Drosophila melanogaster: one gene and its partner. Each later gene encodes a partner of the first gene's protein in a complex. Each region holds a gene or a part of one and is shown on either strand. Other genes may lie near its edges.

Region 1 (4,733 bases):
TCTGATAAAGCTCAATTAGATAAAATAAACACATAATATTTGAATACACTAAATAGCATTTTTCAAGAGGCTTTTAAGATTATTTTTCGATTGCCTACAGAAGATTACTTGGCTTCTTCTAAAACAGGTTTTGTGGTTTATCGCGGTTTGGTGATGATTTCGTTAGATTTGGTCATAAGATAGCTAAGATAGCAGTCTACAAATTTGATTTGAGCGGTATTTGAGGCTTAAGCGCCCACTCGGCATTTCCACTTTGTTGAATGTGGACTTTAAGACCCTTATCAACCATTTGCGGGGTTATCGCGGGGTTGGATTGCCGCCAAAGGCGAGGCGCAATCAAATTCGCGTTTACCACTCGTTTATATTGGCAAGAGAAGCCCGACAAGTGCGAACTGCGATGAGCTGCTGGCTGGTTTCGGCTTGCTGGGCTGGCCAACTGGTTCCAGCTGACCGCAGGCGAAGGCCACCCCCCCCCCTCCTCCTCCTCCTCCTCCTCCTTCTCCTGCTCTTGATCCGCGCGAGAAACAGCAGAGACCCTTATGACGAAATTTATGCGCAATGATTTTTACAATTGAATGCCAAATTAGGCTGGACGTCTGCATTTATAATCCCCATAATTACACGTCGTTTCTGCAGTTGCGACACGCCATGCATGGCTAATGGGATGGAAGAAGGCATGGTATCCATCACGCACGCGCCGCTCGGCTAACTTATTCAGGTGCTTCCGGCGGGAATAAGGAAGTGGCCAGCCCGCAGAACACCAGATGCCCAGCTGGTCGAACGTACAATTGTACGATGTACACATAGTATAAACACAACAATAACCGGAATCACAGTCACAATGGGAATGGGAATGGAGCTCCTTGTTTGGCACACAGCGGCGGCCGCGGTGGCGACGAAAATGGTGCCAGTAATCGCTGCCCACGCAGGCAGATAGATCAAAGAAGACCTGTTTTCACCAGAGAACGAGCCTAGCCCACTCACTTGGGGTCCTGAATCCGGATGGAGACGTCTTCGGTGGAGCGACCTTGCTTGCCTCTCATGGGCGTGGATATCACGGTGGAGCCATAGACGCGTATCGCCTCGTCGGTCTCCTCCTCGAAGGCGTCGTGAATGGAGAAGCCCCTGGCCCCGTTGTTGTACATATTTTCTGGCTTGGATTCTCTGCGTTTTTCTTTCCCTGTTTCCGTTGCCCGTTGTTTAATAATAAACGAGTGCGCTGGAGATTCGGATTCGGGCTGCCAACGTTGGCTGCCAGCACGGCGGAAATCGGGGGAGATGCGGCTCCGACTTAGTGCTGCCCCGCCTGCATTTTCGGGCACTCCGTATTCGCAATGTTTTGCACTGATTTCTGCGCCCGTAACCGTGGAAAAAGTGTTTTTCTTTTCACATTAAAACGCGACACAAAGCAAAAAAATATTCAGACTCGCAGCAATGTGACCGTTCCTCGGGGGTGGTTAAATACTGTGTGGGGGTGGCTGCCAGCCTGCTTGGTATATTTAAGCACACATCATTGTTCACACAAGGCCGCATCAATTATGCTTAAACGGTTTCACACTTGCACCAATGTTGTTCCTTCTTTCGACCTTATAACATATTTGAAAAATGTGCAGATTTTAAAAATAACAAATTATTAGATTCTTATGTCAATTGATTGATACATGAAGCAAATCAGAACAGTCGCCTCTCCGCTAGTGGCAATACCTTCTAACCGTACTATTGTACTAAAAACTCCTGGTCAAAGTGCCGCAAAATACCAAACCTCTAAAAAGGCAGCCACACCTGCACGCACCTTTATTATTTTTGATGAAATTCTGACCCTGCTCCGTAAATTGTGAAATACAGAGTCCTCCAAAATGTCGCGGCACAGGATAGTGCGCACCATGGACTACAATGATGAGTACGACGGCTACGACGACATCTACGGGCACTCCGTGGAGGACGAGCACTGCATCTCGCCCACGGATGCCCAGCAATGGCTCTACGATCGGGCTCGTGGCCAGCAGAGCATCTCGGCGTTCATCAGCAAGAACAAGGACATCCAAGAGGAGGAGGCCGACGAGGATGAGGACGAGGACGCCGCCTTCGCCAAGGCTCGCCGCGACTCCGAGAGCTTCCAAATGCCGCAACTGGACGAGATCGAGCAGGCCAAGCTGAGCTCCTGCGTGGACGAGGTGCGCAGCGTGGTGGGCGATGCCGTCTCCGAGCGCCGCATCGTGGAGACATCCATGAAATTCGACTATGACATGCAGAAGATCCTGGACGAGATCCTCAACGAAGAGACCAACAAGTCTGCCAAGCCGGCTGTGAATAAGATGAAAGCGCCCGCTGCTCCAGTGCTGCCAAAGACGGTCAGCAAAACGGTGCCTACGCCACCACCCAAGATCAGCCTTAAAGAGCCGCGACGTGGCTTCGAAATACCCTCGCCCAAGGTGCCCTCATCGCCTGTGGTCTCGGGCAGAAACACACCCGTTGACATTAGCGCCGGCGACGACATCTCCCGTAGCTCAGCAACCGTTTTCAAGGTCTCCAAGGAACAGGCCGTGCGCAATGCCCGCCAGCTGTACGAGAAGGAGCGAGCCGACCAGAAGAGCCACATTCACATGATTGTCATTGGTCACGTCGACGCCGGGAAGAGTACGCTGATGGGCCATCTACTGTACGACACCGGCAACGTTTCGCAGCGAGTGATGCACAAGCACGAGCAGGAGTCCAAGAAGCTGGGCAAGCAGAGCTTCATGTATGCCTGGGTGCTGGACGAGACGGGCGAGGAGCGGGCCCGCGGCATCACCATGGACGTGGGCCAGTCGCGTATCGAAACCAAGACCAAGATCGTCACACTGCTGGATGCTCCGGGGCACAAGGACTTCATTCCGAACATGATCTCCGGTGCCACACAGGCGGATGTTGCCCTTCTGGTGGTGGATGCTACAAGGGGAGAGTTTGAATCCGGCTTTGAGCTCGGCGGACAGACTAGAGAGCACGCCATTCTAGTGCGATCCCTGGGGGTTAACCAGCTAGGCGTGGTCATCAACAAGCTGGACACCGTTGGCTGGTCCCAGGACCGATTCACAGAGATTGTGACCAAGCTAAAGTCCTTCCTCAAACTGGCGGGCTTCAAGGATTCCGATGTGAGTTTTACGCCCTGTTCCGGACTAACCGGCGAGAACCTCACCAAGAAAGCCCAGGAACCCGCCCTGACCAACTGGTACAGTGGACGCCACCTCCTCGATGTCATTGAGAACTTCAAGATCCCCGAAAGAGCCATCGACAGACCGCTGCGAATGTCCGTGTCGGACATTTACAAGGGCACTGGCTCCGGATTCTGCATCTCGGGACGAGTGGAAACCGGAGTGCTGTGCCTGAACGACAAGGTGCTGGTGGGTGCCAGCCGGGAGCAGGCCCAAGTGAAATCCCTTACCATGAACGAATTCCCACAGACTTGCGTGTTCGCCGGCGATCAGGTCTCCGTCACCCTGCCCGCCTTGGACATCAACAACGTCACCGTGGGCTGCATCATCAGCGATCCACAAACCCCTATTCCGGTGACAACGCGATTCCAGGCCCGCATAATCGTGTTCAACGTCAAGGTGCCCATTACCATGGGCTTCCCCGTGCTGCTGCACCACCAATCCCTAATAGAGCCCGCCGTGGTCTGCAAGCTGACCGCATCGATTCACAAGAGCACCGGCGAGGTGGTCAAGAAGAAGCCGCGTTGCCTGGGCAACAACTCGTGTGCCCTAGTGGAACTGGAAACCAGCAGACCCATCTGCATCGAGCGGTATGCGGACTTCAAGGAGCTGGGACGCGTGATGCTTCGCGTGGCGGGAGTCACCATTGCCGCCGGAATGGTCACCAAGATCCGCTAGGTCGATGACCGCGCTGGATTTTGTACGAAATTTTAGTTAGATATTAACTTTTGTTGATTTCCTAAATATACATAGTTTATATGAATTGATTAAATCGAAAAGACGCTGAAGCATTGGAAGAGATTTCGGTCTGACCATTTTAGCGGTATCTTAAAGTGGAGTGTGTTTTTCATGGAATTAATCACTTTAAGAAATTATTATATTTATTATCATTGAATTAATCATAAGGAATATAATTACAATTTATACATAAATTGCAATATCACGTTTTTGGAATATTATGACCCCTACAATAATATTCCAAAAACGTGATATTGCAATTTTTGTATAAATTGTAATTATTTTCCTTATGATAAATTCTATGATTCAAAACTGTATCTCGAAAATGTGAATATGCGGCTGACTAAAATTCTGAATGCGAATCATATTGCTGATTCATGAAACAATCAAGCATTAGAATTTTTTCTTAAACTATCGGCAACACAGCTTATATATTATTTGCAAATTATGCTTAAAAAATAAAATAGGAATACCATAAAATATCACTTACTGTAGAAAACAATTTCAATATGAAATCGTATTAACAAAATTAAAATTAAAAAAAAATATATAGGGAAAATAACAATTTAAATATTTCCAAAATTTGATGTGCTAATATAAATTTAAAAGAATCAAATATATTTCGAATATAAATTTTATAGTTTATTTTTAAAATTTACAGCAATGCTTTAAAAGTGTCATCGCTAAGCCATTGCGATAGTCGTGCGTAGCCCTCGGCCTGCGAGTGCCGATAGTGCCATCGATGCTTTGGCAGCCCTAGTCTTTGAGTGTTCGCTGTTCGCTGAGGGCGAAAAAGTAAAGAAA
Region 2 (5,142 bases), on another chromosome or scaffold:
ATAGAAATGCTCTACATATTTTCCACAATCATTTGCTGATAATACTTTTGTTGTAGCCGGCAAAATTCCAGCTTATAGTAGTCACAAAATTTGAACTGCATGATTTCATTTTATGTGACTTAAATAAATATTCACATATTATGATAAAATGATTTCAAAATAAATACATTTACGTGACTTTAATTCGAAATATGTGTAGTACATTTTGAGGAACTTGATCACATTCCAGTCAAATATATGTCGATTTTTATATATTTATCGATTTGATGATCATAAAACGAAAGCAAAGAAACTCGAATCGTTGAATTATCTGTCCGAACCTCAACTCCACTTGACTGTACTACTTAACGCACATATCTTTCCACTCCAGTTCCTATTTAAGTGCAGGCCACTTAACACCGTCGAATTAAATCGAGTCAAATCAGGCGGATCCAAGATGCTCACCAGACAACCCGACTACACCATCTCCGAGCTGGGCCATCCCATCCATCAGTGGTCGGATTCGACCGCGTGCGAGTCCCTCAAGAAGCTGGACTACACAAAGATGCCCAGTTCTCCGCCATCACCACATCGCCTGCTGCCACTGAGGGAAACGTTGGACGATTGTTTCAAGCGCTTGACGATGAGGAGCAGAGAAGATTTCGAAGAGGATCCCGTATACCAGCAGAAATTGAGAAAGAATCAGTGCAATGAACAGCAGCGAAGGCGGTAAGGCAAATGGAAAACTTAAACAAAGCATTTCATAACAACATTTCCCCATCTTGTTTCTATTTGCACAATGGCCAAACTATCAGCAGCAATCAAAAATGTCGAGATAAAGCCCAGTCCGGAGCAACAACGACGACGACGACGACGACAACGATAGCGGCGAGCTGCGATTTAAACAATTTCTGAGATTAAAAAGAAGGAGGAAGAATACTTATGGGGGAAGCAACCTAAGCGGACTGACTAAAAGTGCTAAAATAAAACACCTTTTGCCTAGATCATTAAGTACATTAAATGTTAAGTAAAGAAAAAGCTATAGCACTTAATTTTCATTTAATTGCCAGCCACGCAGTTAGCATACAAAAACATATTCGAATGGAATTTCATCGGCCCATTAAAGTGTAAACAAATTGCGGAGAAGAGTAGTGAATAGAACAGAACAGAACTAAACAGGCTGGCAGCCAAAAATGGTGAGGAGACATTGGGGCAACCTTGATCATGAGCACGTCGCTATGGGGCCAACAAATTAATGCTCGAACGTGCTTTCTTTAAATGGCTAAACGCGTGCGATCGCAGCAGATCTCTATTCGCAGCGGAAGAATCTGCGATCTTCTAATGGTTATGGAAGTCCATAGTGGCAGATCTAGCAAATCTAGACCTTATCACTTGTGGAGATACTGTGCTAAGCCATACGAGTGAAATCACTGCGATATATTAGGTTGTAGTATAATAAGTTAAAAACTCTCTCTTAATAAAGAATAACAAACGCGTTCTCAGCTAAATTCTACACATAAATTCTATACACAAACATAAATAAATTGAAAACCACAGTCGCAGGCATAGCAAATCAATTAAAGCACAATCGATACAGTAATTAAATTGATTGCTCTTCTTCAGATTTTCTGAATTACCCCAATATTTGTATTCTTTCCGGCACCCAAAGCAGTCTGGTGACATGCGTTCCATATGGCGACACAAGCACACCAATTGCCATAGCACTCTCACACAATTTTGCCAAGTTGAAGGTTTCTAGTTATACTCGCGATCGTGCTCTTGATCTCCCGCTTGATTGGGCTTAATGTGTGCCCAGCTAGTAATTACTTCAATATACATAGATATATACGTTGGCTCAACCAAGTGTAACTCACCTAAAGAGGTTGTCCGAGATCAGCAGCGTTTCGATGGCCTGCGACTCGGCGGCTTGGAGGACATGTTTCTTTCCATAGAAGGCCTTGGCGGGCTCACATTGCAGCATCATGTAGAATTGTTCCAGGGCCTTGACCTCGCCAGCTGCCTTGGTGTCAGACATCTTGGCCAGCACGGCGGGATCCTGTAGAATTTCTGAAGGCAAGAATTTGACTTAGAACATATCTCTTCATAAGGGTAAATGGCTCACCTCTTAAGGAGTGCTTAAATCCCGAGGATGCGTGCACCAGCATAAACTTGCTCTTGTTGTCCAGCAGCAGCTTGTAATCCATTTTGACCGCCTGCTGGAACATGTAGTCATAGAACTGATCGCGCACGAATCCCGGCGACGCAATCAACACACACTTGACCACATCGAAGTTGACGTGCCGCAGGATGCTCTGCATAACCTGCTCGTAGAACTTGGCCAGTCCCTTCTCGTGTTGCTGGACACTGCCCTTGCGCTTGCGCGGTATGGAGACCTCAATCTTGCTCCGCACCAGGGTCATACTGGCGGTGATCAGGCAGACGTGTGCTAATCCCTCCTGCATCACAACGGCGGCTACATCCGCAGACTGTGTGGGATCGCAGGCCATTTCGATGCGCTCTAAGGCAATTGTGTCCCATTCCGGCTTACGCAGCTCGAACTTGCGATTCAGCTCCAGGTCGAGGGTGTGATAGGCGCCCATCTTGACATACTGGTTCTCCTCGATGTTTCTGCCTTTAAGGCGGAGCACACAAGCCTGCGTATCAAAATCTATGCTCTCCACTGCGATGGTTAGTGTGGTGCGCACCCGGCTGCTGGTGGAGGAGCCAGTAGCCGTTTCATTCTGCACCTTGCGAATAGTGGTGCTGCGCACGCTGTCGCCTTTCGCAATCAAATTGTAGGCGTGCCACATATCCTCGGACTCCTCCGGCACCAGGGTCACATTTCTAAAAGAATTTTCGAGGCATAACGAAAATAGTTTAAGACTCTGGGGATATTCACTCACCCCTGCATGCCCTTGTCCACGTATTTGCCCAGCAGCTTCATCCCGTCTCGTTGCTGGTCAGGATTTGGTATTTGTTTCGTCGGCAGGCACTGCCTTTATACCGAGTGCTTTGATTCCTCTAGCCGCTTGTCACTTGCACCCAGATTCCAGTAATTCCCTCCGTTCACAAAGGCGGCGGTGCATCGTTGTCATTGGGTTCACGCAGTTGCTAAGTTCACACCGCTGATCGAATCGGCAGGATGGTGTGGCAATGGTGGTGGTCAGTAGAATCGGCGGCCAAGTGACATTCACCAGGGGCGAACGGTGATGTGCGACTGGCTATTTTGCCGCCAGGATTGGCTTTCTTAAAGTAGTTTGCATAAGCTACCATTCAGATTTTTTTCTATTTCTATGAATAAATAACTTATAGTTATAAATAAATATTCTACATGCACATGTACATTTTGGTCTGGTTCAATAATTTATATGAAATAAGCTTATATTAAACTAGCTTATTTATTTGCCAGCACTTTGCCGGCTATACCAGCTGACCCCTTTGGTTTAGTATTTTCTGGTATTTTTCGGCATTGGTATCCGGTGTCCAAAAATTGGGCACTCCAAGCCAACCATGTGCGTTGGAAACAACAATTGCATTAAAGAATACACATGTTTATTCAAAATTTCAATTTGAAATTACCACTTTGTACGAATGTTCACTTAAATCTAAAGGGTTACTAGACTAGCAGTCGCTCGATCTCCTGCTGAATGGAGGTGATCTGCGACTTGAGCTGGCTGCCCTCGTTGGTGGTCACAGAGCAGGCGACTATTGGCCGGGAAACTCCGCACGCACGCCCCAAGGCCTGCTTGGAACGAACGAAGACGTAGGGCACGTTCTTGTCCTCGCACAGGAGCGGCAAATGGAGCAGAATCTCGATGGGCTCCGCATCACCGGCCAGCACCACAATATCGGCCAGTCCGCGATTGAGGGTCTTGGTGGCCTCGTTGGCTCCCTTGCGCAGTTGATTGTAGTTCAATGCTTGCTGCAGCAAGTTCATGATCTTGGCGGTAAGCTGGGCATCGGCCAGCGGGAATGCCTTGGGATTAACTTCCTCAGTCTGCAAAGATTGGGATACTTGTTGAAATTTACATCTCTCGATGCTAACGTGGATGCACTCACCATATTGGCTTGTTTATTGTATACTTTTACTGGAAAAAAGTGCTTTAAAATGCAACCTCTCCGCTTGCTGCTTCACTGAGGGCAATTGCAGAACAATTGAAATCGCTTTCAAACACGTGCGTTAGCGTTAGAAAACCGTTCGCAGGTGGTTCGGAAATACCAAATAAGACTGGTCATACTGCCATCTAGGCAATACTAATCGTAACGGAAATTGTGTTCTCTGCAGCCCTAGCTTAAATATACTTTTGATAATTTAAGGGAATTCCCAAATAGAATTTCATAAAATAAAAAAGGAAATCCATTTAAAAATATTTCGTAAAATCGAATCTAAACTTACTTCATAATACAACGTTTCATTAAACAAGTGCTCTATTTTTATTAAAAATTATATCTTTCATGCAGCTTAGAACTCTTTAAACATAACAATAAAATAATCCTTACAGCTTACGAATTATATATTATTATAATTATTTATTAAAATTTTGGATAACCGCTAGCTATTTCCGATCATTTAGATTTTCAGACGGAATAGAACCCGCGCAGTAGGGATTACTCATGATTGCGCCGCACGGTTCACGCTGAGCGAGCTGCCTATCGCTGGCCTACTCACACCTGCGTGCTGGGGCGCATCCGCGAGTCGCGTCAGTCGAAAAAAAAACTTTGAACGATTTGGTCGGGAAAACTCGGTTCGGCGGCTATGCGGGTATTTTTAATCTAAGCCATCAATCCACAGCTACAGTGCATCAAATCGATCGGAAAGTCGAGGCAATATTTCTGAAAGTGTTTACAAATCGCTGGCATCGTAGTCGTAAATTTCAAAAAGGTAATTTCGCGCAGCGAAAATGGAAAAGCAAAGTCAAACAAACTCAGAAAAAGGAAATGAATGTAAAAAATCGATTATTCAATCTGTGTATGTGTATGTTGGTGTGTGTGTGTTAGGTGAGCGCTGAGTGTGTATGCGTGTACGATAGTGTTTGTTTAAACCACGGGATTTTTTTATGCCCAAATCGAATGGCGAAAATTTAGCACACCGAGCAATAAAGGCCAATTTAACTAATTTAAAGTGTGCGAAATGTGGAAAAGTGCCTGCGAAGAGAGCGCTGA

The links.
Region 2: HBS1 (region 1) and pelo share a complex: the UniProt entries of both Drosophila melanogaster proteins name them as parts of the pelota-HBS1L complex.

What each region holds. Positions count from the first base shown.
Region 1 is NT_037436.4:1,862,169-1,866,901, reverse strand, and holds HBS1 (HBS1), read left to right. Parts: upstream 1-1,661; 5' UTR 1,662-1,856; coding exon 1,857-3,869; 3' UTR 3,870-4,021; downstream 4,022-4,733. Other genes in the region: CG12025 (uncharacterized protein), read right to left, coding at 985-1,145. UniProt on the Drosophila melanogaster protein: GTPase component of the Pelota-HBS1L complex, a complex that recognizes stalled ribosomes and triggers the No-Go Decay (NGD) pathway.
Region 2 is NT_033779.5:9,698,834-9,703,975, reverse strand, and holds the start of pelo (pelota), read right to left. Parts: upstream 3,167-5,142; 5' UTR 2,924-3,166; coding exon 2,883-2,923; intron 2,824-2,882; coding exon 2,102-2,823; intron 2,047-2,101; coding exon 1,854-2,046; intron 1,535-1,853; exon of another isoform or gene 895-1,534; coding exon of another isoform or gene 795-894; intron 709-794; coding exon of another isoform or gene 437-708; exon of another isoform or gene 371-436; intron 1-370. Other genes in the region: CG31710 (uncharacterized protein), read left to right, coding at 437-708, 795-894; hoip (hoi-polloi), read right to left, coding at 3,596-3,976, 4,039-4,041. UniProt on the Drosophila melanogaster protein: Component of the Pelota-HBS1L complex, a complex that recognizes stalled ribosomes and triggers the No-Go Decay (NGD) pathway.